2 linked regions of the Alligator mississippiensis genome follow. The protein of the gene in region 2 binds, or shares a complex with, the protein of the main gene of each other region. Links are inferred from orthologs where the notes say so. Each region holds a gene or a part of one and is shown on either strand. Other genes may lie near its edges.

Evidence for each region.
Region 1: the proteins of BCAR1 (region 2) and SH2D3C are in contact, whole or in part, in a crystal structure (PDB 3T6G), measured with the Homo sapiens proteins. The link is inferred for Alligator mississippiensis from reciprocal best matches to the Homo sapiens genes BCAR1 and SH2D3C. Residues at the interface, in NP_055382.2 of Homo sapiens: Ser739, Gln742, Phe746, Tyr747, Gln750, Asn754, Val779, Ser782, Lys783, Ile786, Leu787, His790, Val793, Phe794, Ile795, Asp797, Thr798, Arg801, Gln802, Ser816, Asn817, Cys820, Leu823, Arg824, Val827, Lys831; in NP_733745.1 of Homo sapiens: Thr543, Val544, Pro545, Val547, Gly616, Val617, Arg618, Glu622, Thr625, Leu626, Pro627, His628, Leu749, Leu752, Leu753, His771, Gly772, Val773, Glu774, Val776, Leu777, Leu780, Glu781, Ala783, Arg784, Ala787, His788.

What each region holds. Positions count from the first base shown.
Region 1 is NC_081835.1:57,374,522-57,389,800, reverse strand, and holds the start of SH2D3C (SH2 domain-containing protein 3C), read right to left. Parts: upstream 6,891-15,279; 5' UTR 6,837-6,890; coding exon 6,797-6,836; intron 1,158-6,796; coding exon 470-1,157; intron 1-469. UniProt on the Homo sapiens protein: Acts as an adapter protein that mediates cell signaling pathways involved in cellular functions such as cell adhesion and migration, tissue organization, and the regulation of the immune response.
Region 2 is NC_081833.1:41,199,466-41,214,941, forward strand, and holds the start of BCAR1 (breast cancer anti-estrogen resistance protein 1), read right to left. Parts: upstream 6,910-15,476; 5' UTR 6,788-6,909; coding exon 6,776-6,787; intron 1-6,775. UniProt on the Homo sapiens protein: Docking protein which plays a central coordinating role for tyrosine kinase-based signaling related to cell adhesion. Implicated in induction of cell migration and cell branching. Involved in the BCAR3-mediated inhibition of TGFB signaling.

The sequences.
Region 1 (15,279 bases), on a different chromosome or scaffold from region 2:
TTGAGCCTGAACTAGAGGCAGCGGCTGAGCTCTGAAAGGGACATTCCCATCCCAGGGGGAGGAGAGGGTGAAAGACTGTCGCACACTGGAGATGTTACACACCCATCTCACACCTGCTCTCGACACTCCAAAATTTGGGGAATTGCCTTTCTCAGCTGGATCAAGCCCATAACACTATGAGCTGAAATTAAACTGAGAACAAGATAACAGGAAGAACAGGCAAAGCCAGGCTGTCAGAGACATTTCCATCTGGACCAGAAGCAGGAAAGCCCAGAAATCCCACAGGAAAAGTGTTCTCAAATTTGAAAGGTTTCTCAAAAGCAACTGAATTTTCCAGACTTGTAGCCTGTGCTTAGTTCAGGACTTAGGGACTTCGCTGGCTAGAGGTCTGTAGGCCCAGCACCCTCCTAACTCAAGCCGTGATTCAGCAGCACTAGTTAGTTGGGGGCTATATCAGACCGGGTCTTACCTTTCCTGTGAGCTCTCAGGGGGGTCTGGCAGCAAACTCTCTTTCCCTTGATCTCCTCCATCTAGCTGAATGAGGTCTTCCAATGGCTCCTCTTTGGTAAGCTCTGTCCTGGGAGCTTGAACAGGGGCCTGTGCTGGACTGGCCACTTGTGTCTCTGCTGCGCACTCAGGGGCTGATTCAGGGAGGCTCCTTGAGGAGCTGGATTCTACTTTGGGTGTTGCCGTGATTGATCCCCTGGGGCTGGGGATGCTGTTTGACAGCAGAGTCTTTTCCCCGTTCTGCTCTGATTCTCCAGTTGTCGAGGGGGGGTCTGCTCCAGGGGCAGGGGCAACAGAAGATGCTGGGGACTCTGGGAGGGATGATGGGGATGTGCCACAGGCTTTGCCACCGAGGTTCCCTTTCTCTTGACAGTTTTTGGAGCTCTTAGCCCGTTTCCCTGCATGGCTCAACCGGGGCATTGTCCCCATATGGCTGTACATGTCGGATGACCTGACATAGGGGGTGGGGCTCTTGGGCATGGTGTTCAAGTCATCCTGAGTGCTGTCAAAGGGGTCCTCCAGGAAGCCATTGGGTTGCAGGAGACCCGGCCCCAGGGTCTCTTGTGCGCTGGGGGCGACAGACACTCGCCGGATGGTGAACACTCGATTGATGTTGCTCAGGCTCCCAAAACCTTTGAACTTGAAGAACTCTGGAAAAGATGAGAAAGCATCAGTCTGTGTTACTGCTGGGATGGGGAGAGCAGGGATGGGCATAGGAGACCCGGGCCATGGGACTCATCTGCATCCCAAACTGAGACTGTGATAAAAAGGACCTTTTGCATTGGTGTGACCTGGTGGTACTCTCCTGAACCTTGATTTGGGCCAGTGGGTTTGCGCCATTGTTGTAGGCTGGCGACAATGGCACTGACCTTTGTTAGGCTAATGGAGATATGGGTCTGGAAAGAGTCGGGTAGGAACTAGGGGTTGTTAGTATGATTCACTCCTGTGCAAAGCAAGTACAAGATGCTGCCAGGCACCTCCATTCACCCAATCCATGTTCACACACTGGCACAGAGGCAAAGGACAGCACAAGGAGCAGGGCTGTTGAAAATCAGTCCACACAGCATCAGCTAGGGGATGGGGTAGAATAGTAACTCTTCCCCCTCTTCTGTATATATCTGGCCAGAGAAGCAAACCCATAGCCCCAATGTCAAGGTGAAATGACAAAGCCAAAAAACATCACTATTTTGGGGGATCCACCATAACCAAGGTGTGAGTGCTTCCTGCTGGCTGGGCAGCAGCCTGCCAACCCCCCAGCACTTGTGCTATTTGCTTAAGGCCAGCCAAGTTGATGGGTTTCCTTAAGGAATCCAGGCAGTGGAGGAGCATCAGGCCAGTGAGGAGAGCAGCATCTGATACTGCTCCAGTGACCCAGCAAATCAGCACTTTGTGTCAGCCTTTGCCCACTGGTTGGCAAGGTTTTGCTCAGTAGCTACAGCCCCATTGGGGAGTTCTGGCCTCCTTTGGGGCATGTTCATCATGGCCCCAGGGGAGGCAAGTCTGACAGAAATGCTTAGGGAGTGTGAGGCCTGCTCTGCTCGGGCATGGTGCTGCTGAGAGGTGAGCTGCCTTAGGCGCCTCCTGAGACACTGGTTTAAAAAGAGGGAGACCCCAATAACAAGCTAACCTCTGCTTCTCCCTGCTCCTGTGTCCTGCTAAGCCCAGTGGCTTCAGACCAAGGTGGGACTTTGAGACCCAAACTCAGATGCACTCGTGAGGGCCAAGCAGTCCTCTAACCCCGCAGTCAGGCTCTGCCCTCTGGGTTCATGCCCAGGATGGGCAACAAGGTGGAAAGTGATTCTTTTCCTCTCCAACTAGCCACAGAAACGTAAACAGGGCCACCTGCCGCCCCTCTCCCAGCCCTCTCCCTGTCTCAGCAAAACACTGACAGCTGCAGAGGAAGAAGCTGCATTTGTCTGGCTGCTGAGAACAATTTATGACAAGTCTTTACACACACGTGTGCATGCACACACACACACACACACACACACACACACACACACACACACATCGTGCCATAGGCTTTGCTCCAAACTAAACAGGAGGAAACAAGACAAGAGAAATGACAGCAAAAAATAAATTTCAAACCCTTTAAACCTGCCCTTTTTAAGTAGGTGGTAAATGAGAGTGATCAAAAATAGTCTCCTGCATCTGCCTCTGGCTTTCATTTCTTTTCCGCTCAGTTGGGCTTTTTCAGGGAGGTGAGAATAGCCGGGGGTCCCAGCACTGCCCTGCGCGCTTGGGGTCATGTCTGGTCTCTGTGCAGTAGGTAATAACCAGCAGTTCTAAGAGTTGCTCATCTTTGAGTCGATGCACCTGGGTGAAAATGGAAAGAGCCAGATGCAGGGAGCAGGTGCATCCTCTGAAAAGAGCTCTGGACCATCTCCAGGCTTGCCCTATGTGTAACTGGTATGATCATGAGACTAGTATCCTCCTGGTATTTAAAAAAGCCAAAAAATCATGATTTCATTTCCATGTTGCAGCTCTTGCCTTATCCAGTACCTGGCAATGTGTAGCTGAGGGCAGGATTGGGCCCCTACCAACCATCTGACCTTCCTCTGACTTGCACATCGAGTCATCAGTTATGCCTATGCAAAGTGGGGGTCACACCCAGCTGCTGTGTCCTGGTAGCATTCATCCCTGCGTTGCAGACCAGCTACTCTGCACCGTAAGCAGTTCTTTCAGGCAGAACGTGACTCAGATCGGGAACAGCCTTGAGACAGGCTCAGCTTCCAAACAGAACAGCCCCAGATTGCTAGCTGCCTATGCAGCCAGCCAAACAGTGTATTGAGCTATCTGTCATGTCTGGTGACCCCCAATAATACAACCATCAGGAGTATATAGGGGTATGGCAGTAGGTGCTTATTGGCATGACATATGTATCTGCAGGGAAAGCCACAGAGCCGTGGCAGAGAACCAGGCAGCTCAGCGGGAGGAGGGCAGGGCTGCTCTTTGATGTGGGGTGTCCTGCATGCTGATCCCTGTGTCCTTTACAAGGTTCTGCTTTGTAGCTAAGGATGCTCCAAGCTAAATGTTGCAGCCAGTGCAGGATAGAAGCCAGAGGCTCGGGGCCCAAGTGGCTGCCTGCCTTGCTGAGCTAGAGTCAGATTAGGGGTGAAGCCCTTGGGCAGGCCCAAGACTGAGCAGGGATAGGGATCCCAACTCTTTGCCCCAGCACTGAGGGGCGTTCCAGGTGCTGCTCTGTGCTTGTCGCTACCATGGCTGGCACTCAGCTCCCAGGGCAGCATCTGCCCCACCAGGCTATGGAGAGAGGGAAACCAAGTGATGAAAGAATCCCAGGCCCCAGCCCTGGCCCTGGGGGGCAGGCCAGGATATCACATTGGGCAGGAACTGCCTCCTAGCCCTGCAGCCAGGCCCAGAACCCAAGACTCTCGCTTCTGAAAGGTATACTGCCCGCCCCAGAGCTGTCAAGACAGGTGCTGCCCAGTTTCTTCACCTCCTGGCCCCGTGGCTCTTTCTGGGCTACCAGGCTGTCACGTTGGTGGGGACCCTGAGCCAGGCAAGAGCCATTGGGGAGAGAGTCAGGATTGTGTGTGCCTACCTGTGAGCGTGTCTGTTACTGTGCAACATGAGTGTGTGTTTCAGCATGGATGTGAGACCACGCAGCTCTGTGCCTTTGTGAACACGTATATATCTGTGTCATCTCTGTGCCTCTCCTAACTAGCTCAGGGCACCGTCACACTGTGAGCTAGCACTTCGGCCCAGCTTTCCGCCAGCAGCACACACTGTGGGAAGTAGATAATCTACCCACTTCCTAAGCTGAGCAAGCAAGCAATGACTGCTCTCCATTGCTGGGCTCGTTTTACAGCTGCCACCACCTGCTATTGCTGACTGCAGAGTGCTAACCAAAGCCCTAGTTATAACTTAAACAGGATGGGCTTGTGTTTCTCACCTTGGCCCCTTCCCCCGCTTCTCCCCACTGAGATGGTGGTTCAGCGTGGGAGCTGAATCTCACAGCCCCCCAGCTTTGCCACAAACATTGGCAGTACACGACCTCACTGATTTACCTACCGCCTAAAGGCTTTTTTGCAGCTTGGTGACCACTTCCTGTGGCAGCTGCTTCTTTACATGCTGTTTAGGGAGCCAGTAACTGAGACTTAAGCTTGTAGTTTTGTTCTCAGGGTACCGCTTTGCTCTCTCATCATGCTACAACTTAGTTGGCGCAGGGATTCAGGCCAGGGCTAGATCGGGCAAGAGCGGTCCAGCTTGATGTGGGGATCACGGGGCGGAACTGTCTGCCTGGAAATTTTGTGCAGGACAGCAGGTGAAACGATCACAGCTGTCTCTTCTGGCCCCAAAGGCCCTATGTTTGTGACTGCTGCCTTGCAATGCAACCCTTTGCCCTTTCCCAGCCCTGTTTTCTGAGGTTCTCCAAGACATTTGCAAACACTTGCAAGTTAAAGCTTGCAAAACTTCTGCTGGGGAAATGAAGGTACAAGGAGGGGAAGTTATGAGCTTCAAGTCATATACTAAACCAGTAGCAGAACTAAAAGGGGAACCCAGGTGTCCTGCACTTTAATGACTACCTTGTACCATCCAGCCAGACCACCCATAATCATAACCATACTTGAAATAAGTGGCTGAAATATGTCTCAGTGGATCTATTTTATTGCTGTCTATTTGTATTCTGGTAGTGCCTGGAGGCCTTGACTAAGATAAGTTGTTCAAGAGGTTGCACAAACACAAAGGGCATGTCTTCACTGCAGAAACAGACTGCTTGTACTGCTGGTTAAAACAGCAGTGAAAACAAGGCAACTTGGATTTTAGCTTGGGTTAGCAGCTCAAGTCAAGCTCACAGAGGACCTTGGGCTGTCCTTGAGTGGCTGAGCTGGGCTGCTTTGTCTTCACTGTTATTTTATTTTTACCCAACCCAAGCTAAGAACATAGCTGAATGAGTTTTGTGATGAAGCCATGCCCGTGTGAAGATGGGCCCTGCCCTGCACAGGTTCCAGTCTGAACAGACAGACTGTAGAGCACTGGGAGAAGGGAAGATTGAAAATCAAATGTCTTTTTACTGTTGTTTGTGCCTTTGAAGCCCTTCCTTCATAGCCAAAACCTTTGCCAAAAAAATGCTACGCCCCAAAATGGCAAATGCTCAGAAATAAGAGATCAGAGATCTGGGTTCAGTTCTTGCTCTGCCCCAGCCAGCACTCTGTGACTCAGTTTCCCTCATCCCTAAATCAGGACTATTCTCTCTGGTTGTGAGGCTGGTTCATGTTTGTGAATCATGTGGTGATCCTGACATAGAAGACATCAGATAGGGATGATTATCTCAGCCACGGCACTGAGGGGTTTGGGAGTGGAAAAAACCTGCAAATTCAGATTCTAGCAGAGTGTTATGACAGGGAGGCTTGCTGGGAAGGAAGAGAAGGAGGGGGCAGAAAATGAAAGCGTGGTAGGGTAGCTGCCTTTCAGTGTGCTGGGGAAAGCCCCAGGTCTCTAGGAAAGAACAAAGTTACTCCCACAAGATGCTGCTGGTAAATTTCCTTTGCAATTGACTCTGAATGGCAAATGATCTCTACAAATGTGTAGAGTGACCACTGGCTCCAGCGTGATCTAGGGGAAAAACTCCCATTGCAATGAACACCAGGACTTTCCCTATAGCCCAGAAACACTATAGCCCTATAGCCTGAGTTAACACTATTAGAATCTGTGGTTGGGGACCCCATGCAGCCTCATCTCTTCTGCATAGTCCCTCCAAATGCAAGTCCACAAGTCCCCCTCAGCATCCAGGATCCAGTATGCCACCAGTCTCCATCAAGGTGCAGGATTAAGAGTGGGGACAGAGTCTCATGTGGCTCCGTTGAGCTCAAGGTGGCAGGGAAATGAGAAGGATGCCCACCTGCATTTCTACCTCAGTGCCCAATTTCATACTGGCTGGAGAAAACTGTTCCTAGCAAGACAGCTTGGTTTCAAGAGCGGCCAACAGACAGGACTGTTTTATACGGTGGCACCTGCAAAGCGCGTCAGAAACTCCAGTCGGCCCGATCACACCAACCCACCCCATCCAAAGCAGGAGAGCCGACAGCTACACTAAATCTCTTGGCTCTGCTACCCCAGTTGCTACATAGGCAGTGTGTTTCCTCCGCAAGTGCCACTCACTAGCAGCCCATGAAGATAGCACACAGACCCCCATGGTGTGGAGACCCACTACATGACCTACACCCAGGCAACTTTCCCCTGCTTGCTTCTGCACTATGCTTGGCCTTCAGGCTAATCAAGGAGCACCCACATGACAGTCCCCAGCACACACCCCACAGCTACTTACTGAATTTTTTGAAGCCCCCTTTCTTCTGGCTCTCTGCCATGTTCGGCTGCTGATGGAGCCACTGAAACAAAAAAGGGTGTAAGTTTATAATCTGTCTCTAAGCCCTCCCCTCTCTGCTCCTCCCTTCCTCTTCCCCCCTGCCCTCCTCCTCATTCACTCTACACTTCCTCTATCTTTGAAAGTCTCCCGCACCCACCCGCTGCTCCCTCCTCTTGCTTCCACCACAAGGGTCCCCTGTTGCTGGCATGAGCACCCCTGGCTGGTGCTACGGTTAGCCACCGTGACCTGTTAGTAGCATCCTGGGACTGCATCCAGCTCAGAGCTCCGTCCTGCTGGATGCTGTGCAAACACATAGGACAACCTGGACCCCGCTCCAAAAAGATCAGTCTCAGGTTAATATCTGCTCTCGCATTGGCCAAGAATCAAACCTGGGGGAAGGGGAAGAGGAAGATGTTATCAGTGAACCTCCAATGACTTTTAGCTTCTCCCTCTCCACCCAAGGCCATGAGGAACCGGCAGGCTGGGTGATTGTCTGCATCACCGAGAAACCTGCAGGCTGGGTGTAGGGCTAATCCAGAATGAAAGACATGCTCATTCTGGAGTAAGAATGTCCACATAGGAGCTTATACTGCTATAGCTATAGCAGTGTAACAGTCATCCTTCCTGCTCCTCCACTGGCCCAGTGTAGGGCAGAAATTAGTCTCTTCAACTCCTTTCCTTCCTAAAGGGGATCCTCATCCTTATCTCTGACCAGTGGGTTTTTTACCAGGCCAAGGCATTAGCAGCTACATCAAGGGCCAGCAGGTGGAATCTGATTCAACTCTACTGGAGTATGACACTGGCACAAGTGGAAAAATCTGCCCTGGGTAAGACAGGCTGTTTGTGCTTGAGTTCACATTGTCAACTTAGACGTTGTATGTCTGAGCAAGGGATGAAACCATTGGCTTCCGTCATTGTGGCTGGAATTGCAAAACAAGAATGAGGGAGTAAGAACGATTGCACATTTTTATTGTGCTGCCTCACTGGTCACTAAGCTCTTCAGCAAACCATCCTTGCTGATTTTGCCACACAAACAATGGGTCAATGCCGGGCCCTTTATGGAGTTACTCTGATTGCAGTGGATTTTATTGGGATGTGAGTACAGCACAGAAATGCAGCCACCTCTGTGACAGCTGCTTCAACTCCACAATGGCGTTTGAGTAGAAGGGACAAAGAATCCTGAAGGATGGAAGCAGACAATAGTGGCAGCAGGTGCATTATTAAGATGAAATTTAGACAGAGCTTTCTCTAATAATGGCTGCACTGCTGTCACATGGCAGCTTTCATCCAAAATCTCCAAGTACCTCATAGAGCTTGAGGAATTGTACAGAGGGAGAGCTGATGAAGCAGGAGTCCAAAGGCTTTGCTAAATAGCACGTGGAAATTCAGTGCCCAGGTTTGGGGGGGGGCATGAATCCTGTCCTGACCACCAGAAAACAACACCTTCCTCTTGTGTGGACAAACTTCTAGAACTGCCCTTCCTCACTGTAGTGCAGTGACACACTTTCTATTCCCACGCACAGTGTAAGCTGGAACCATGCCCTCACCTGTGCCCTTGAGATAGGTGTGGTGTGTGCAACACCCCTAAAAGGTATAAGGAGTTATTCAGCAGAAACTGTATCACCTTAGCAAACAGTTGGAGGTTTTTTTGCAAAAATATTTATTTCTATGTATATAAATATAGATATATAACTCTACCTACAACACTCTGCCAAGTGGCCCTTGTGGTTCACTTGGCAGCTCAAAGCCCACTAAAAACCCATTACACAGTTCGCACCATGCAACTGCACACACCTATCCCTATACCCGTACCCCCACCCATTGGCCTCCTCAGAAGGGCTAATCCTGAAAAAGTCTATAAAGGAGAGGATTCACGGGAGTGCTTTAGCTGTGATCTCTGAAGGGTCAAACACTGGCTGCTGCTAGAGGTGTGTTGCCAGAAGGACACTGCAAGGCCTGGCAAGATAAGGCCAATCCTACGTGCTACTGCTGAGAGTGAGGAACAGAGAAGAGCACACACAGAGTAACAGGCACTCCCATGGATGAGCATTTAGTCCTTCTAACTAAAGCAGGCAGAGAGTCTGGTGCCTTAATCTCAGTGGAGTGCCACAGTCTGAGTAGATGTGAAATACTTCACATAGTCTGGGGCTCAGGGGAGCCTGTTTCATGGCTGGCTCCCAGAGCACCTGCATAGAGTCAGTTTGGCTCCAAGAGGATTAAAAGCAGCACACAAGGGGCCGGTTCAGCAGCCATCAGGCACAGAGCTGCATGGGAGGCAGAGAGGGTGGCTGGTTCCAGAGGCATCACCAGGACAGCTCTGTGATCTGAGGGAGCACTCTGCAACATCCCAGAGGTCCTGATGAGATGGAAGCGCCTGTTTCTTTCCCCACCATGGCTAGATCTCTCAGGCTTAGCCGGACAGCTTAAAGGATACCTGACTAGAGGGCAGCAGCCAATTTGGGAATGCTGCCTGGAAATGCAGCATGGCATCCGGCACCCCTCACCCAGAATGAGCGGGAGGCCCTGGAGATGCAAGCTGGACAGGGAGGACCCCAGTGGGTGAAAGGGAGACCTATTGACTGTGAATAGTGGAAAGGCCAAGGGGGTGAAATTAGGCTCCTGCTCTCTGTAAACCCAGCCTGGGTTGGTGCAGATCAGAGCCATGCTCGAGGCCAGAGCCATTCTGGTCCTAGGAAATGGTGTTGGTTGGGAGGGACTTGTACACAGGGTATGATGGAAATGTAGTGGTGCAAGCTCCTGCAGACCCAGCTGTCCCAGGGGACAGACCAGGTGGGGGTCAGTGCCTCGATTAGAGATTGGGAACCCCCAGCAGCCTTCCTTTGGTACTGATGTCCACCACTTCCATGCCTTCCATGCCAAAGGTGTGTTCCTGAAGGCTGGGACCAGTTGATGCCCATGGACAGTGGTGGTGAGAAGAGAGGACTGAGATGGTGAAAGGGGGGCAGCATGGCACGGGCAGGGGAGAAGGCTGGTGTGGTTTGCAGAAAGGCTGTGCCTGGACCTTGAAGAGGCACTGTCCTGAGTTGGTTGGGACCGGCTGTGCTGTGCAGAGGCTCCGTTTTGCAGGGCCCCGCAGCTGGGACTCAGATGCTTGCTGGGGCAGGCGGCTGCTGGGTTGGGTTCTTTGGCTCTGAGTGATTGCTGAACAGCACAGGGCCTGGAGTGTGGGGAGGACCTCGTATGGACTTGGTATGGGGCATGGGAAGAAAAGGGGCCTGGTGTGGGGCAGCTCCTCAATCTGCCCCAGACCCTGAACTCCCTCCAGAGGGAGCGGAAGGCCATGGCTGTTCCCTTTCCCTGCCGGTTTGCTGGGAAGGCCACTTGCAGTCTCCTTGCTTGTCAGGCGATGCCCAACACATGCACAGTTGCAGAGGAGCAGCTGGGCTGGCACAGCTTGAAAAGGCTTGTAACACGATTAGCATTTCCCATGCTGTGTCAGAACCTGGCAGGGCCAGGAGGAAAACCTCAGGGTGAGCGCCGGGGAATGTGTTACTGAGGGGTGAGGGCAAACTAGGGACCAGAGCACAGGAGCTGGAGCAGGGCCTGTACAATATCATTCAGGCTTAGTAAGAAGCTCTTGCTGGTCAGACAGAGGCTCATTCCTCATTAGAGACAGTCTGTGCTTTGGTGTTTGTCCCTGTACATCCCTGATCCCTTTGTAAAGCACTTTGGGATGTGTGGTGTTTGCAGCCCCTGGAATCCTGTCTGGTTCTTTTACTGGACACATATTGTCTCGTCCTGCCCGTCTGCCAGCTCTGCTGGGTTCAATTTACCTTGTAAACAGGAAAAGGGCTTTGCATTTCCATAACACCTTTGGTCTGTGGATGATTGATAAGCAGGAATTCATTCTACCATGCTTTTGTTGAGGCAGCAAATAAGTGCCAATGCCAAGGCACAGAAAGGCTTGGTGACTTACCCAAGGTCCTACAGGGAATCTATAGCAGAATTGGGACTTGTATCCAGACCTCCTGAATCCCAAACCTATGCTTTCAGGAGAAAACCCTCCATTCTGCTTTCTGGGTACACAGTGCCGGTGACTTGATACAATAGTCACCGGCACTATAATAGATACAATAGTCGTGGTATGTTCTGGGCTTTCAAACATATTAATGTTTCTAGGACTCAGGGGCAGCGCTATGTGTATGTCACTGCTATGGGGTGCATTAATCAAGTGAGGGGAGTAAATGAGGAGCGGATGCACTGCAGGGACCTTTCCCATGTATGAGAACGATTGATGGCATCTTTCCCTTCAGCCTCCAAATCTAAACAGCTGCCAAAAGCTACAGAAAAATTAATGGAAGGTTATTTGCCTGCATATCACTCAGAGCTGAAGGCAAGATTGAATTTTGATGGATGATATCCCCATTTGTCAACAAGCTTTTTCCCCCCACTGTTATTGACTCACATGCTTGCTCTGGATTCAGGGGCCTTGCGTTACCTGCCCAGAGTGAAGCAAGCCGTGGAAGGCCAGAGAACCGGGGGGTGCGATTGCTTTGTCATAGTTCACATCAGCCTCGTGAGCGGATGTCTGCATCTCCTGCTGGGATGGTGCGGAGGCAGCAGGGTGGTGCTCTGATTGGGGGTCCTGAGAGCTACATCTTGGTTCACGCTTGTCTGGGTGGCTGTAGGACCCATGTGGTTCTGCAGTACAAGCTGGTGGCAGGGAGGTCACAGAGCTTCAACCTGCACTGCTTGTGCCTGACCGTACCTGCTGTCTGGTTAAGCAGACAACTGCAGAGCCACGGCCCTGGCAGTCCGCCACTTCCCTGAGCTCTGCATCGGCACAAGGGTTGTTACACTGAGCTCTCTGTTTCTGGAAGCAAATTTGAGAGCGTTGCCTCCGCCCCTAGTGCCTCTGCTCATTGTCTGCTCCTGTTTACTGTGTCGCTTCCTGCCAAACTCCCCAGGGGCCATAGAAGAAATCCAGTCCCCGGCCCCTGACATGGGGAAATGATACAACAGGATGGAGCAAAGCAGCTCTGGCGACAAGCGCTTGCCCCTGCATAACAATGAACTCTCTTGGAGCTGACTGAATTTGGTGATATGGGCCCCAACAAGCTGCCCAGAGACCTGCGAGGTGGTGATTCACCGGCACAGTGAGGGTGTGGGCAGCAGCTAGAGCATGACTGTCAGGGGAGCTGCACACTGTGCTCCCTCCCCTTGGACAGTCGCTCATAAACACACACTTTATCAGCTGGCTGTGCTCAGAGGAGCTACTTGTTGTTCTGCATGCACACAGCTCTTTGTCTCCGCAGAGATAGGTGAAGCCCCTGACATCACAAGGACCACCAAGCCAGACAGTCGGCCTTCACGACAATGGGTCAGCAGCTACCTGTGTCCTTCACGGTACCCTCTCCAAGGCACGCACGCACTCTCTGTCATAAGTAGATTCCTTCCCAGCACAGCTGAGCGTGTTTTATCTGCAGGCTTCCAAACACGAGACAGATAGAAAATGTTGTCTTCTCTAGTTTACTTGGAGCGAAAGGGGAACACCAGTAAACATCAGGCACAAAGGTTTCCAGCAAAGGCCATGATGGAAAATTTTCCTCTAAGCGACTTGCCTGAGTCTCTGACCAGCCCCAGGGCAGAGGCAGGATAGAACAGGAGTGCAGACACCCAGTCCCCCTGCTCTTGCTAGAAGGCAACTCTTCCTAGATAAGGCCTTGTCCACACTAGAAATGCTCTGATTGTGTAGCTGAATAGGCCTGCTCTCCTGTTCCAGCAGTTCTCTGAATGAAATAAGCTGTACCAGTTGGATATCGGCATCGGGATTATCCAGAAGCAACATTACTACAGTGGCAGAAGCTTCTGAGTAGAGCTGATCTAATGTCAATGGTGCACTGTATCCTCTATCGCGGGGGTCAAAAGGGTTTTGTACCACTGGTGTGATGGCAAATCACTGTGTAGGGGGGTGCTCGAGGGGCTGTTTCAGGAAGCAAAGGACAGAGAAGACTTTTGCCGGCACAGAACATCCCAGCACAGTGCAGAATTGTGGAATCCTTTTCTCTTGCAGGCAGGTGTCCCCATAGCTGGCGTCATAGAGACTGGTGCAGCCTGTTCGGACACATCCTATCCATCCCCTGGGGCCAGTGCAGGATTGTTCCCTCCACTGTGGATTGCAAATGCTGTGTTTTGGCAGGAAAAGAAGCTTGGGGCAGCTCGCTCCGCTGCCACGTGAGCTGGGTGGGAGTTTCCTTTAGGAAGGTGGAAAGTTATTGTATTCCTTGTGCTGCCTGGAGACTCATCAGGCCTGTTGATTAGAAGTCACTCTCCTTTCCAAACAAATGAGTTAGGACTGACAGGGCTGCCAATATGGTTTCCTAGCGGGGAGGCAAAATCATAAGACGATCACCTCCATACATGGGGCTCTGAGTCCATGGGGCGGGAAGGGACTTGCTGCAGTGGGCAGAGGGCTGTTCCTTCCCTGAGCAAATGGTAGAACAGAAAGGAAATGTGGGGTGATTGGTAAGGATCACTTATCCCTGCTGAGACTGGATAAAGCTGCTGCAAAGTTGTGCTGCCCTACTGGAGAGCTGCAGCCCTGTGGCAGGGGCTGCAGGCTTCCCTCAGTCCCTAACACAACCTGCCCCATTGCTATGTGGATCATCTGTTGAAAGACATGCAGTGCCCTAGCCTGGAAGCTGGGAAATACCAGCAGGTGGTGCCCAGAGTGAAAAGGTACCACTCGGGCAGGCAGAAGGTACCACAGAGCACAGCGTGCTCAGGGGTCAGGCAAGCACAGAGCCTGTGTCCCCGGGACGAGGGCCGGCATGCACCACACTCATCCAGATGACAGAATGGAAAGTCCCAGAGAATTCCTCTCTGATTGATGAATGAAATCTCTTCCTCAAAAATGCTGACTAGCAAAAGGACTGACCAATGAATCTGGAGAACAGCTCAGGTCCCACTTCCAAGATCTTTGTGTTCCTGGAACCCAAGGATATCTGAATCACTTGTGTCAGTTGGAACCACTAATGAATCTAGTGCCATGAGGCTGGGAAAGGCATCTGGGGGGAGGAGGGGGTTCAATTTCTGTTGCCCTGAATTGAAATGAAAATGGTTTCCTCCTTATCTCACTCCAGCTAAGGGGCAGGAAATGGATATAAATCAACATAGTGGAGTCAGAGACACAAGCCTTTATGCCTGCCGAGGCTCTGGCCACAGAAAACATCTGACACAGCTCCCAAAGGTCAGAGAAGAGACAGGGGACAGGGGAGCCACTGGGGCCAGTGTCCAGGCATCATAGAAGGGCTGAGAGGAGCACTGGACGCAGCGTGGGAGGGCTCAGAGAACAGGCAGGTGTTGCAGCAATGGATGCTTATGAAAACTGACCCAAGTGTTGGGCTCTCTCATGGGCACTGTCCAAACTGGCATCTGTTTAGGGCTCTCTCCACTGAGACTCATAGAGGCTATCAGTAAATACTGCTGGTGTGACAGGCTTTTGCTGCTGGTACTCTAACCTGTCTCTTTCTAGCTTACAGACCTGAGAATCATGGAAGAGAAGTGACTCGCCAAAGGTCACACAGTAGGGCAGTTGCAGAGCCAGTTCTGACTCCAGTTGCCTGCTTTACCCACTAATCACTGAGCCCGTCCCTCTCCTTGCCCCATCAGCTGTTTTTCCCTACATCTGTCTCCTCTGCCTACCTCTGTCCCTTGAAAGCTGGGCTTGGCTTTGACGTTTATCTCAGGACTGCTGTAAGAGCTAATCCTTTCTCTGCCTGCCTGCTGCGAATGATCTCTTCTCTTAGCTGTCTCGGAGCCCCCTGCTGGCACTCTGCTTATGTAGCCACCTGTGGCACCCTGACGGCTGCTGCTGCATCCGAGCACGCTGCCAAACTGTAACGTGGGCAGTAGGCAGATGTCACGGCGCTGGCCTCCTGGAGGGGAGCACGGGACGCTATGGAGGTGATTTAACTCAGTGACGCAGCTGGATGCTGCACTGATGCAATGCTGATGTGCCGGATAGAACGAGTGTCCTCTGCATGAGGGCATGAGGGGGTGTCACGGCGTGAAGCAACGATGCTGAGACACAACAGGATGGTTCAGTGTGGCACTGTGACTCAGGATGCGTTGCTGTGGCGTGTAGGCACAGGATGATGATGCAGAGGTGCCTGCGATTACTATTCCTTCTTTTCCTTCCCAGACTGACAAGAGGCCAGAGCCTGGTATTAGGGCCTTGTTACACCTTACACTATGAGCTGCACAAGTATAGATGGGGGGTCAGTGCTGGCTCGGGTTTGGAGCGGTCACACTTCAGGCCGGAGGGGGCCTGGAGGACTGAAAGGTAAGAACCCCCCCTCCCCTTCTGGGCTTCCCCCAGTCCCCTGCCTCTGGGGCTTCCTCCGTTCCCCCCTTGCTTCCCCTCACTAGAGCACTACTTACTTGTAGGTAGGTGGCAGAGAGCAAAGCCCTGCCCTGGCGCT
Region 2 (15,476 bases):
CAGAAGTAAAGTCAGAGCAATGGCATCTAGGAATGCACGAGCGAACCTGGGAAGCAACCCAACTGTGTGCACTGACGAACCGAGGGGGCACATGCACTGTTCTTTACTGGAATAGTATCTGATAAGCAAGCAGAGCAAATGTCCTCAGGCTTTGGCTCTGAATAAGCAAGGCCTTCTCAGCCCTCAGCTCTTGAGGCCTGTTAACATCCCACTTTAAAGCACAGAAAGGGACCTGATTACAAGGCACCGGTTCCTAGCCTGCTTGTAGTGGAGTTAGCACCCGTAACAGTGATTGGACCTGGGCATGTCCAAGTAACTGTGTAAGGCTTGTTTTGGCCATGCTGGCCTTCCATCAAGCTATGTAGTATACCAGGGATCCCATCTGTAGGGGATCCAATTCCAGCACCATTAAGGCATCAATAGACACAACCTGCACACAGATCTATCCTGTGGTAACTGAAACAGATGGGATCAAACATACTGCATAGCTAGGATGAAACCCAATCTGCCAGGCTGTGCCCCAGCAGTAAGGAAGGTGATGTGCACCTAGAAGGTTTATGTCTATGGGGCTTCTTCCCAGTACAGCCCACATTTGCAAAGTGATCTGCAGAAGAAGGAGGGCTCTGAATATCCTGCCATCTTTGAGAGATTGGCAGTCCTCTTGACCAGCCCACGCTTTGCATCTCAGTTGCACCTTTGGTCAGAGGGCTTCAAAGAGCCTAACTCCTAATGATGTCCTCCAGGCAGCCCTGACAACCCTACAAACACTAAACTGATGGTAAAAATGCTGTCCTCAGGCAGCACCAGCCCAAGGCAAGCCAAGGCTCCCCTAGGCCCCACACAGCTAAGACCAAACTGCTGATGTTTTCTGGTTCCTGAATCTCCATGTCCACAGAGCTGTAAAGTACCCAGGTGCTAGTTCCCACCATAAAGCCCTTCCTGCCTCTATCTGGGTGCAGCTCTGTGCTGAGCATCCTGTGAGAAGGCACAATAGACCAGTTGCCACTGCACATTTGCTGTCATTCTCCCCTGGCCACCAAGACTGCCAGTAGACTGTGAACCCCCAACCCCAGGCATACACCCACCTACCAGCACTTGCCCCCACACAGATTGATGAGGGTGCTCTCACCCTTCCAGCCTCCCCTCACTCCATTTCCAAGCTAAGCCAGGCCAGGCCAGGTCCAGGTAAACTCAGCTGAAGCCAGAGCTACTGCAGTGTCTGAGAGGCAGTGTGAGCCCAGAGCCCATCCACCAGGCGACACGTCTAAACATGATGGTAGCACTCTGCAAGCTGCCCCTGGCAGAAGGAGCCAATCCTGCAGATTTAGCATGTGCCCTGGCTGTAAATCCTGACAGAACAGGCCCAGAATGCTTCCCCAGGCTGAGGTGTGAAGCAGACTGGTTTCAGCACCCACCAAAACCATGCCCAGGGTGAGAAGGGGCAGTACCCACCAGCATCAGGGAGTGGTGGCAGGAAGATGCTGAGGTGTTCCTGCTGATATCCTGCCCCTGCCTCCAGGTCTCTACCCTCCATCACTAGTGCAGTGGAGACATCCATGCTGAATGCTATGGACACGTCCATGGGCTGCTTGTGGATCACACTCCTCAATCATTCTGGGCTTGCAACTATAGCCTCATTTACCACCATCGCTGAAATCCTAGAACCAAACTAAGAGCTCTGCACTACATTTCATGTCCCTGCCTCTTGATGACAAGACCCCACTGCACTACCTATTCCAGTCCCACTGGCACACCCCCAAACAGTGCTCCCTATGTGGTGCATGAACTGAGAAGATGTGGCTTGTCCTTTAGAAGTGCCAACAGAGTCCAATATGGACCACCTAGAAAACAGGGAATCTGAATGGGACGGAAGCAGTGGGAAGAATTAGCTACAGACCCAGCTATCTGCCTTTCAAGGTGTCATTCCATGGGAAGAACCCCCAGAGCCTCAAGCTAGCAATCATAATCAGTGTCAGAGGGTCAGCAGAGCCACAGTGCACTGTCCCTACTCTTTTCTTCCTTGGAGTGAGACGCCCCCCCTTTCACACACTGACCTAAGAAAGTCATCACAAGCATGCCATCAGCACACACCCATCTCAGGGATGGGAGTTGGCACTTAGCAGAAATGTTAAATGAAGCTGCCTTGTGTGGGAGCCAAAGTGTTGCTTCTCAGCACCAGGTACATCCCCTTTGAACTCCTGGGGTATCAGAACCTTTGAAGATGTGACACTGAACGCCATTAGCAAGGTTCTTGGGTTCAGTCACCCCATCAGCTTCTTCCTGCTTGTAAGTCAGTAGTATCCCCAGGTAGCCTTACAGAGCGCAGCCTTGGGCTGAGCCATAAACTCCAGCGCCTCTGGAATCAACTGGGGGGCAGCAACCCAGGTAATGATCATTTACTCTCCTGTTCTTTGGTGGATCTCTTACCCTCTGGCAGCTCCCAGACCCCCTTCTGCATTCCTTGCCCATCTCGCCTCACCCCAGACCTCTTCCCACCAGTATAATTTGAACATATTCAATGCCAAGCTCTTTGCCCTTCTACCCACACTCAGACCCCTTCATCACACCATGTGGGGACACAGAGCAAATGCATCCACACAAGCAACCTTCCCTCAAAACGGCTGCTTCAGCTCAGCTCTGCTCCCCCACTAGCACAGAGCACCCGCTGAGGAATCAAGTGAGGACATCTGTGAAGGGTGGGGGGCTCCCCGATTGTTAGCATTCCTTTGGCTCTCATCACAGCCTTACCAGCATGCCTTACCACCCTTAATGAACTGGCCCTCCCAACCTCCCTGTGCAGCAGAGCAGTGTTATTATCCAGGGCAGAGCGGGGGAACTGAGGCACAGGTAAGCTAAGTGACTCAACGTCACCCAGGAACCCGGTGGCAGAGAAGAAAGCTGAACCCCAATCTCCCTTGTTCCAGGCTAATGCACTCACCACTGAGCCATCCTTCCTGTCTGGGTCACCCTCTCTATACAGAACAGCCTTACCACATGGGGTATCTTTTCCATCCAGGGAGCTGTGAGCCCTACACAATGTCTGAGACCAACCCCCACCAGAAGCTGTACACTATGAGCAACATCAGGCATCCGCCTGTCTGCCTCCAGTCTGGACTTGCCTATGGCCCAACACCTGCAATTTTAGGCTCTTGTGCAGCAGCTGCACCCTCAGGGCATGGAAACTGCAAGAACCTTCCCCAGACCATGCCAGGGCTCAGGCCCACACCCAGCACTCCTTTCCACTGGCCCCTGGGGCGGCTGGGAGTGACGACTCACTGGAACTTACACTTTCACAGGCAAAGGGAAAGAGAGATAAAGGGCTGCTCCACACCTTGTTTCTGAAACAGCCCTTTGTGCACCTGATTTTACAGCCCTACTTCAAACAAGGCCATAACATATGCCAGGGGTGGTGGAAGAAATCCCACATGGTACTGGCCCCCCAAAAGGTCACTTAAACGGGATAGCCAACACATGCCTTCTCTCAAAGGACTTACAGCCTCTGTTCCATTTAGGGGTCTTCTCTCCCCCAAGTGCAATGAGCCTGGACTCTCATTGCCATCTCCGCATGCTCCAAGTTTCTTCTATTTTTTGGTTTGTTTGCTGCTTCTTTGTTTTTTTTAACAACGTAAATGTCAAGAAGTTATAAGGGGGCCTTTACATGCACACTGAAGAGAGCTAGGGGAATAACTCTCATGTTGTGCATTAGCAACAAACTCGCATGGCCTATTCCCAAAGCACAGGCCCCTTGGTGAGGGTGTGAGATGGCAGGATGAACCCTGGCAGCAGTGCCATGCATACACCTACCTGGCAGAGGAGCATGCTACCCCTGCCTTTTGGGAGGGGAAGATCCCTTATCACTCCAGAACAGGGATTCTCAACCAGGATGCACAGCACCCTAAAGTGCCATGAGATCCTTTTCAGGGTGCCAGGAAGTGCCCACACTATCAGCCATGTTAGCTGTGCAAACACCTACACAAGATAAACCTAGTGACTTCAAATAGGAATTCATAGTGCCGAAAACATTCCGACCTGCTGTGCTCTTTCTGAGTGCTTTGCAACAGAAGAACTGCTCTATTATTTTTCTGTAGTCAAAAAAAAGAGAGACAGCTAAGAGCTGGCATTTTCCAAGTCTAACAAAGTTGAAAACCAGTGCTCCACTTCCAGGGTCCTGTGGTTTGCAAAGATGGCCTGACTGGTCACCCAGGAGCACCATGACAAGGGGTATGAATCTGGTGCTGCACCAACACGAGAATTTCCAATGGACAGAAGGAGAAAAGTGATTTGCAAGCTCCTGGCAAGCCAACTGCCCTTATGCTGGCTCTCTTGCACCCTGAAGCAATGTTTCAGGAGGTTTTTAATGCCAGAAATGATCCTTTCCTCAAGCTGCCCCATTGGCACTGTATGTTGTAATCACACATGAAAAAATCTCTCCCTTCCCCCAGCCCTATACTGTACTCACACAGCAAGATTTGCCAGGCCTGGCAATTGCTGATTATCTCCTAGTGAATCATTAACGTTGTACTCTACACTGCTGCTGGAGCCAGCCGGCTTGCTGACGTGCACTGAGAGGACGTTCATGCTCTCACACGCACCACTGGATGTGCCAATGACTCCCAGCTCCCCCTCCCCTCCCTGTTTTACAACAGCCGCCTTCTAAAACCATCAAATTATAGAAGAGTGTGGAGAAGCAATGGCAAATACCACCTTAAGGAGGGCAACACAGTGGCATCACCTTGCATGGGACTTTTGCCTGGCATCAAGCAGACTGCCACTCAGCCCACTTTATGGTGTTTCAGCTTTCACAGTACAGTTTGGATAATAAAACTCTCCTAGTGCCCAGACTTCCAACCTCTGCCTCTGACCCAAGCCCTGGCCTGGCCTGTTCCACTGCTGGCCCTTGACTCCCAAATGTCATGATACCTGATCCTAGGCTCTGGCCTTGGGTTCATTTTATTTCCATTCCCCTTCACCCTATCACCATTTGAACAGTGGATAATTCTGAACAGAACTGGTCTCACCTCCAAGCTGTCACTTAACCATGAAAAACACAGGGCGATTTAAAAAGGAGACTGGCCCTGAGCCAGCAATCCTGTTAGCAAGCTTGCCTCTAGTTATGCTACAGTCTCTGACCACTGCCCCATCATGGAAGGAGAGGAACTAGAGGCTGGAAAGAGAGCCTAGCAGCCCTGTGGGCCCAGATATCCAGACCCATGTGCTGCTAAGCATAGTCACTTGCACCTGGGATCAGCAAGAGGGCATGGGAATGCCTGCACGAAACTCCTCCTTGCTTTGGTGACTGCCACAGGGCAGCTGTAGCTCAATGATATCATCCTGTGGATGGTGGGAAGCAGGAAAAGAAGATGGGCAAGGTTCCTCCAGGAAACAGAAATATCCCAGCAGGGTGGGAGAAGGAAACCGCACATATTGTCCCCTGTTCTAATTGCAGCAAGTCTCATTCTCAGATGGGGTCAAGGTTGTGGTAAGAAAATTGCTGCTTGGGAGTTAGGGCAGGCCCTGGAAGTTGGCCTCTTTGCCAATGGCTTCTTGCATGACTTTGGGTAGCAAAACTGCTTGCAAGGACATGGGGGACATGCAGGTATGAACTGGCTGTGTAACCTTCTGAGTATGTGTTACTGGTCAGAGCAGGTCTGGGAAGTTGCTTGTCAAGCTTTTGCAGGCCAAGATGGCAACTGTCATCTCAGTAAATCACTGCAAGAACCTGGCACGAAGGGGCTAAATGGAGAAGTTAACCTGGGGGGGAAAGCAAGGGTCCAACCATAAAAGAGGAGGACGACCTGGGGGAGGAATAGACCCCAAGGCCTCTGATTTAAAACAAGCTAATTCTCCACATCATGGCTTCAATCTTCTCCTTCATCCAGGTAATTACCCCCTCCAGCCACCACATCCAGATGCCTAGGAGGTGCATACATATGGTGTTAGATTGAGAGCCTGGAGTCTTATTTTCTGCACAGCCTCCCGGCAGGGACAACAGCAGCAAGCATGCCCCTGAATGCCTTGCTGCCAACATCCACGCACAGAGCAGTGCAGCACTCTGCTGGCCCCAAACGAACGCAACTGCAACATGCGTCTGCCTGATGCGGGGGAGAAGGAGTTGGGCCCCAGCCTCCCACTAGCTGAGGTGCCCGATTAGCACCGACGCCACTGGTGGGTTTTACTCCAGGCACATCTGTCCTCCGAGAACTGGGCTACGATTCTGCAAACTTGTCACTCAAAGGTCCTTAAGCAGCTACAGAACTGCAACAGCTTTAGGTCCCCAAAACCGCTGGGCGTTTAGTCCTTTTCTGCCTCAGCTTTGCTGCAACCACAGCGCCGTTTCTCCAGAGCTTCACATTCAAATATAAACCAGTGGATAAGCCAGGGAGCCTGCGCTGGCAGCACGGCAGACTCGGCAGCTGCCCTTCACTCCCCTGCAGGGAAGATCCCCGCGCCGCTGCCTAGGAGCCGCCGCGGCCGGGAGGCCGAAGCCGGGGGCCAGCGCGGGCTGCGTGCGGCGGGGGGCACCGGGGGAGGCTGCCCGCGCCGAGGCCGGGGAGGCAGCCGGCGCGGGGCCCGTGCTGTCACCCCCGGGCGGGGGAGCCCGGCCCTGCTGCAGCCGGAGCGCCCGGGCCGTCCACACGGGACCCGCGGCCTCCCGCCTGCTCCAGCCGCCGCCGACCCCGGAGACCCGCTATTGTCTGCGCCCGGCCCGGGGCGCCCCAGGAAGGTCCTCGGGACAGCGCGGGGGGCAGAGCCGGGGGGGTGGGGGGGCACTCACCAGGTAGTTCATCTTCCCCGCAGGCCGGGCCGGGCGCCGATCCGGGAAGGGCCCGCCCGGCCGGGAGGAAAGTTGGTCGCGGTGGCGGTGGCTGCCCCGGTCCCCGCCCCGGCCGCGCGGCCCCACCGCAGCCCGCCCCGCCCAGCTCAGCTCGGGAGCCGCAGCCGCCGCAGCCGAGCGCTCCCCGCGCGGCGCCGGGACTGGCGGGCTGGGCCGGGCCGGCACCGCGCAGCTCGCCCGCCGTGCCCGCCTCCCCGCGCCCATTGGCTGCGGTGCGCGGGGGCGGGGCGGGGCCGGGCCGGGCCGGGCCGGGCCAGGCGCTGCGCACACGTGTGATGAGGTTTGGTGGTCTCTGTTTGCACAAGCGTGGGACGGGTGGTGCTGCTAGTGCACAGGCGTGTGGAGGAGGCATGGGCGTGACGGAGCTGCCCTTGGCACGTGCACACGCGCGTGTCCTGGGCTGTGTAGTGCATGCACGCGAGCGTGTGTGGGACGGCTGCGCAGTCCGCCTGTGCACGCGTGTGTGCCGGGGCTGTGCAATCTGTATGCACACGTGGCGCGTGTGAAGGGGCCGTGCCATCTGCACGTGTACATGTGTATACTAAATCGTGCAGTAAGTGCATGCACTTGTGTGTGGCAGGGCTGTGTGACTGTGTGCACATGTGTGTGACAGGCTGTGCAATGCGCATGTTACACGTGTGAGGGGACTGCAGTCTGCATGCGCACATGTATATGACATGCGCTATGCAGTCTGTGTGTGCGTGTGACAGAGGTGACAATGAAGGTTGTGTGCTTGTGTGGCAGCAAGGTCCTTGCAAGGCAGAGTGGAATATGCTGTCTGTGTGCTTGGATAGTCACAGATTCACAGAAAAACAGGGTTGTAAAGGACCTCAGGAGATCAGCTACTGTCCAAACTCCTACTCAAGGCTGGATCCTCCCTGTCTCTACCATCCCCGAAGAATGTTTGTTTAATGTGCATTAAAAAACTTCTAGTGATGGAGACATGATGACCTGTCTCTAGGGAATCTGTTTCAATGCCAAACCCCACTCAGAGTTAGAAAGTTCTTCTGTCTACCGTGAATCTCATATTTAAGCCCTACAGAGCAACCTTTTATTGTACTGAAGGACTGTCATCCAATCTTTCTTTTTGTCTTCTCATCCCTAGAATAAATTATCTCAAATTTCCACACTGTTTTCATGTCACATTTTTAGACCTCTAATCTTTTCTTGCCTCTCCTTTGGAATCTTTCAAATTCATTCACATCTTTCTTAACGGGTGGTGACCAAAACCGGACAGAGTACATCAGGTGAGATCCCTGGAGTGCTGAATAGAGTGGAAGACTCACTTTCCATGACTTGCATGTGACAGTAATAAAAGTTACTAGCTTTTTTCTCAACAATATTACACCACCGATTCACAGTCATCTTGCAGTCTACTATAATCTCTACATCCTTTCTGCAGTATTTCAGCCTTGCCAGTCATTCTCCATTTTCCCTGTGTGCATTGATTGTTTCTTCCTAGGGCCCCTGCTACACATTAGTATATTATACAATTAGCTGGTTAATCACACAATAAATATTGACAGGCCACATGTGCAAAGTAAGATTGGCCACTAGTGCAAAGTAATTGTCACAGAATTAACTGGTTAATTGTGCAATAAACTTAGACCAGCTATGCATGCAAAAGTAATTATCACATGATAAAAATTACTATCCAGCTATAAAGTTAGCGCTTGAATATGTGGTGCAACTCTATAGCTGGTTTCTATCCAGCTTCAACTTGAATATGTAGCAGGGCCCTAAGTGTAGTATTTTGCACGTGTTCTTTCTACAGTTCCTCTTATTTATTTTAGACCATTTCTCCAATATACAAAAGGTCATTTTGAATCCTAATCTTGTCATCTAAAGTGTCTGCTACATCACACAACTTGGTGTCACCCACAGATTTACTAACTGCATATTCAGTTCCATCCTCCAAGATATCGATGAAGATATATTTAATAGTGGACTGAAGAAAAGGTGAAGAATCCCATGTGATAACTCTTCCCAATTGACATGGAGCCATAACTACCCTTTAAGCATAATTAGCCAACCGGTTATGAGCCCACCCTAAAGAGTTTTATTTATGTTATCTGTCCTTAACTTACTTATGAGAATGTCATAGGAAACAGTGTGAAAAGCCTTATATAGTCCACATAGAAGTCTCTTTGTGGCAAAGACAACAACAGTCCCGTAGAGGGGAAGAGAGACCCATAGCACAAGGGAGCAGGGATTGGCACCCTGTGGCAGCAGCCAGATTACAAGGGGTAGCCTGCTGCTCTAAAAGGTTGCCAACCCCTTCTTCTTTTTTCATATGACATTTTAGGATTACAACATTCAAAGATTAATATCTAAATTTGATAACCATTCAACTGCTTCAGGTGTAGTTGCATGGATTGATTTTAGATCTCCATTAAATGATCTAATTGGGCAATCATTCACAATGCGTTGCATCATCTGAAAAATTGCACCACAATAACAACTTGGAGTCTCTTTGATTCTCCATTTATGGAGTAGGTGCCCACGTTTTCCATGAAGTGTCCAGATGTTATTCAGGGAGGACCAAATCTTTCTTAGTAGGTCAAATTCTGACTGGGGAAGTGTAGGATCACAGATGATGTTTTTCTGTGGCAAGCTGGTATTTACCCAGGCTTCCCTTCATTGTTCTTTGGTGCTCTTGTTATCATTATAGAGCTTGGTGTATTTCTATTTCTCAGAAGGGTTTTCTAGATTTGAGCCTATCTGGTGGTGGCATAGTGATGTCCTTGTTGATTAGGAAGTTTGGGTTACCGGTGGCCTTATGGTATTCCCTCATGCATGTGGCATTGTGGCGGAACTGTGGGGAAGCAATGTTTGCTAGGACTGGAAGCCATGGCAATGGCATACTTTTTAGCATTCCTGATATAATCCTCATAGCTGCATTTAACTGTGTATCAACAATTTTTGTGTGCACACTTTTGTTTATTCTGCTGCAAAGAAAACAAGTGCCAGAGTGCCCATTTGAAGCATGGTTGTATTTGCTCCCCACGTCGTTCCGGCCAGTTTATGCACAAGCTTAACTCATGGCTTTCACTTTTTTAGCAACATTCCATAGAAGTTCACAAAAGGTGAGGCTCCAATTGAAAGTTAAGGTATTTTGGGAACTTCTCATGCTTAACCTCTTCTCCACAGAAAGTGATGGCAAGTTTCTGGTCAGTGTGGGCATTGTTTAGATGAAATGACATGACGACAGTTTTCCTTGGATTTGGGTGGAGTCTCCAACATGCGCAATATTCTTCAAGCAATTTGAGGTCTTTGCAAAGATCTGCCTGGACTTCAGCCTGAGTCCTTCTTTGAGTAGCAAGCAGCAGGTCATCAGCATAGCCGAATTTCCAGCTGGTGGTAACAGGAAGATCACTTATGTATACATTAAAAAGTTCTGGTGCAAGCTCTGATCCTTGTGGGAGACCACTATTTAGTAGACAGGTTCTTTTGACAGTGCTCCCTAGATGGACGTGATATTGCTGGTTAGACAGGAGTGTTGATAAAAGACAGAGTACCTGCTGGCACCTGATGACCCTTGACGCCTTCAGGAGGAGGCCATCTTGCCATAAGCTGCTGATAAATCAATGAAGGCAGCTCCCGTGATCTCTTTGCACTGGTACCTGGCTTCAATATATGTAATGAGTGCCAGCAATTGGTTGCTAGTGCTGTGTCCAGGGTGAAAGTCAACCAGTTCAGCTGGTATAACCTTGAAGATGAAAAACATGTAAACCAGTAGCATTTTTTCAAGAAGTTTATATATTGTACAAAGCAGGGATATAGGGCGGAAGTTTTTTGGGTCCATGGTTGATTTTCTGGGTTTTGGAATAGCAATGACCTTTGCTTGTTACTGTATCTTGGGAATTTTGCTTGTGGCTATTATGTTGGAGAAGAGTCTGGCCAACCAACAGCCTCCTTTTTGGCCAAGATGTTTCAAGAACTCGGGGTAGATCCCATCTAATCCTGCAGCCTTCCATGATCTGGTAGCTCTTAGGGCTTCAATGACCTCTTCTTCAGTGAAGGGAGATGACTGGGCTGTTTTTGTTGTACTCTACACTACGTCATTGATTGATGGAGTCAAGCCCTTACTTGCTGTCTAGTCTGGTGATCTGTAATGGTCTTTCTATCCAGCAGCTTTTTTGAGGGGATGGCATTTACGGATATATTGATGATCTTATTTGTTGGTTGTGGTGCTGCTTCTGGTGTCTCAGGAGGCTCCAAGCTTTATGGCTTGAGTGTGTGAAGTCTATTGACTCCATTGCTTTGGTCCATCTGTCTTCTGGATTCATTCAGCAAGTTCAAGAGAGCTTTGCCACATTCCGGGTTTCCTGAGTCCGAGAATTCCTGGAACAGAGATTTGCATTGTTCAGGCCACCATGGAGTGTACTCCACCCAGTAATGCTTGGGGATGTATGATCAGGCCACTTTGAGCACAAGCTTGGTAAAGTACTCACAATTTTCAGGTTTTGGTGGAATCTGAGAAACAGTGCGCTCAATATCCTCAGTAAAAAGTTCCCAATTAGCCTTTCTGAAGTTATATTGTAGCATGGGAATGGACATTATTGTTGGAATTTCAATCCCTATGTGTATCAGGACTGGCCTGTGCTGGCTGTTCAGGAAATCATTTAATACCAGCCAACCCCTGCTTAGGTACTTATAAATCATTTTTTTTCATGTTATGTTATCTCTTCCTGGGGATCAAAGTTAGACTGTCAGTTATATCATTCCCTTTGCCACATTCTGGGTTTCCTGAGGCTGAGAATTCCTTTTGTCCCCCTTTGAAAGGTAAATAGTATTTTGTCCTTTTCCAATCTTCTGGGACCTCACCCAACCTCCATGAGTCCTCGGAGGTAATGGCCAATGGCGCTGCAATTACCTTAGCCAATTTCTTCAGTACTCTAGGATGAATCTCACTGGGTCCTGCTAATTTGAAAACATGCAACTTAGTTAATCAATCTCTCCTTATTTTTCTCCTACTCCAAACTGTTTACCCCTGTCCAGGATGTTAGTTTTATTCATTTATGAATACTGAAGGGAAAAGATACCAAATCAGTGTTTCTCAACCTTCTTAGACTCAATGCACCCATCATTAGAGTCAAGGCACTCTTTGTTAAACTCAAGACAGCTCTTGGAAAATGCTAGCTCTTAGTTTTCACTCATTTTTTACTATGGAAAAATAATAGAGCAACTTTTCTGTTGCCTAGAACTCAGAAAGTGCACAACAGGTCAGACTATGGATTCCTATTTGAAGTCTCAGAGTTTATTTTATGAATCATGTTTGCACACCTAACTAACATGATGTGACACCCCATGGCATCCTTAAAAGGATGTCAAAGCACCCCAGGGGGCCATGGCACCTTGGGTGAGAATTACCTCACTAAATGCTTCAACCTTCTCTGCACAGTGTATTATTAACTTTCCCTTCCACTCAATAAGAGACAGACACTTGCTTTGGTCTACCCCTTCTCCTGTATTCATGGAAAGCTTTTTTTTATACCTTGTATGTCTCTTGCAAGCTTCATCTCTGCTTATGCCCTAGCCTTCCGGATTTTGTCCCTGCATGCCTATGCTGTATTCATATACCTAGTAGCCTGGCCAAATTTCTACTTCTTCTAAGATTTCTTACCAAGGTTCATGTAATTGAAGGGCTTATGGTTTAGCCACGCAGGTTTTTTGCTGTGCTTTCTCATTCTTCTCACTGGGATAGCCTGCTCTTGTGCCCTCATTGCCTCTTTAAAGAACAACCAATTTTCCTGCATTGTTTTTCCCTTTATACCTTCCTCCTGTGGGATCCAACCCAGTAATTCTCTATGTCTGTTTAAGTCTGCTTTTCTGACATCCATTTATTTTATTCTGCTATTTCATGATCACTGTCACTCAAGTCTCATATCTGTGTGACAGAGTGATAGTGAAAGAAAGAAACATGAAGGCTGTGCGTATGTCTGTGAAAATAAAATCTGGCATGTGTGTTTCACAGAGAAGCAGCACAGTTGGAAGGAGACTGAGTGGACTGTGAAATCTCTATGAATGTGAGAGAGAGATTATAGGCTCTGCATTCTGTGTGTGTCAGTGTCTGTGTGTGAATGACAGAGGGGACTAAGCAGTTTATGTGCATGTGATCAAGATGACTGTGCATTTGGTATGTGTGTGTGTAACAGAGAGGACTGTGTAGTCTATATGACTAGAAATGACAGAACTTTGCAGTGTGTGAGTCAATATATTGGTTACATAGATAGCACTTGGAGTGACGTGAAATTCTTCATGAGGCACTTCAAGTTTCATTTTTTTTTCACAGGAATTTTCTAAAAGCACTAATTTTAGTGATCAAAAACAAGACAGCTATGGGGTAATCTTGCACTGGCCCAGGATCTAGGAGATCTGGATTTACTTCTCAGTACTTTTGTAGTCTGCCTTTGTGACCCGGGGCTAGCACTTTGGCTTAGTTTACATTTAACCTTTTACAGGGATAACTATGTTGGTGCGGGGTGTGGGTGCTTCACATAAATAACTGTGTGGCAAGAAGCCCTTGGTGAATGTGGTTACATAAGTATAAAGACACTTTATATCAGGATAGTTATTCCTCTTCCCACATTACTTTATGCATATACAGTAATACAGCTGGTATGAAGCACCTTATTCAATAGAACTGTACCCACACCATGTAGAGCAAAACTTGTACAAGCCATTAGGGCTAGAATTGATGTCCATAACTAGGACCCAATTTGGTAGAACTCAGCCCCTCATTAGGCCCCTAAATAAGGCCTGCATTTTCCAAGGTGAACAGAAAAACAGCCCTGATCATGGGTGCTGAGCTCTTCTCTACATTTGTCCCACAAAGCCTCAGGCCCCTATTCAGCAAGGCATCAAGCATACCTTTCAATGTATGAGTAATCTCTTTTACTTCAATGAGGCTACATGCTTAAATGTTTCAGTGTAGTGCCCTTCTCCTTCCCCTTTGTCTGCCTTGTTTAATTAGGCCCTAAGTGCTCTGGGGCAGGAACCATCTCCTGCACATGTATTTAATGCTCAGTATAATGGGGCTGGGATCTCCATTGAGGCCTCTAAACCCTATTGCAATACAAGTGATAATGGCTGTGGAAAAAGCCTGGCCCAGTGGAGATGAGCAAACATAGAAACAGGAGAGCTGGATTCTATGACTGGTTCTTATTGTTTGAATTCTAATAGTTCCCTGTAACAGCAGGATCTGGTGCTTTAAGTGGGTGCAGACAACCCTTTTATAGAAGCCCAGCTATGGGTAATTAGCTACTCCAGGAGTAGCCCCACTGGCAGTTAAAAGCTCAAGGGGGAGAGCAAGGAAGTTTGAGCTATGGGAAAGAAGTAGTCTGTGAGCAGAAGGTGGACTGGAACCCAGACAAGATCAACACCAGGAAGGGGCCAGAGCAAAAAGGCTTCCCCTACTGTCCAGAGAAAGACTACAAGCCTTGGTGTACTGGTTTGTTTATGTGTGTGCGAGAGCAAGGGCTGTGGTTTTCATGTAAAGGTCTGTCTGAGGCAGTAGGCTCACTAACCTGCTTATGTGCCCCAAATTTGCCAGAAGCTGTACAAATGTAGAGGAGGGAGGGTATGCTCCGGCCCTGAAGAGCTTATACTGTATCCACACCCACCCACAGAAAGAGACAAGGGGGAGCAGGGAATATATCAGACAAGGCATCAGGGCAGGTGGGCACTGCCCACATGATAGTGTGCTGGACTCAGGAGACCTGTGACCTCTCTAAGCTCTGATACTGAGTTGCATTGGGACTTTGGGAAAGTCACTCCTACTCTTCTCTTTATCTGTCTTGTCTATAGAGGTTGAAAACTCTCAGGAGGAGGGATTCTCTTGTTATATGTTTGTACCACACCTAGCACAACTGCTCCCTGATCTTGGCTGGCAGTTCTGGGTGCTACCATAATATACATGCTATAGATATTTGATAAATTATTTTTCCTTGTCAAAAAGCTTGGCTCTGCCACTGACTCACTGAGAGGCCTTGAGCAAATCACTTGTCATCTCCATGCCTCATCTGACAACACAAGGATGGGCTCAGACCAGTATTGGTGGGTTAGCCTGTGGGCCTTGAAAGTTTTATCTATAGTAAAGCAAAGAGTTAAATACCAGTGGAGAGGTTCTATAGTGCTCTGCTTCTCAGAATACAATAGCACACAGCAGGTATTAAATGTTACCATGTTGGAATGGAAGTTTTACAACCACTTTGCACCTCACAACATGTAGAAGAACCTAGGTCCAGGCACTGGATTTAGATTGTGCCACTGTCCCATGACTGGAAGAATAGCCTATGAGTTAGGGCTCCTGCATCTTTCAATTCACAACTCTGCCTCTTACTTGCTAGGCGCCCTTGGGCAAGACCCTTAACATCTCCATGCCTGTAATATGGGTGTAGCAACACCAGGAGGGCCAGGCACTCTATGGTGTAGTGACAGTAATGAATGTCTGCAAAACATCCTAAAGACACAGACAGCAAACAATTATACAAGCTCAAAGGGGGAGGGGGTCAGATGGTCCTTTGTGTTTTGCGTATCTGCTCCTATCCCACAGTTAGTGAAGCTAAACTATACTGATTTAACTTCATTTCAGTCAAAGTAAGCTGCCCTGATTTAACTTCCATTTATAACAGGATAG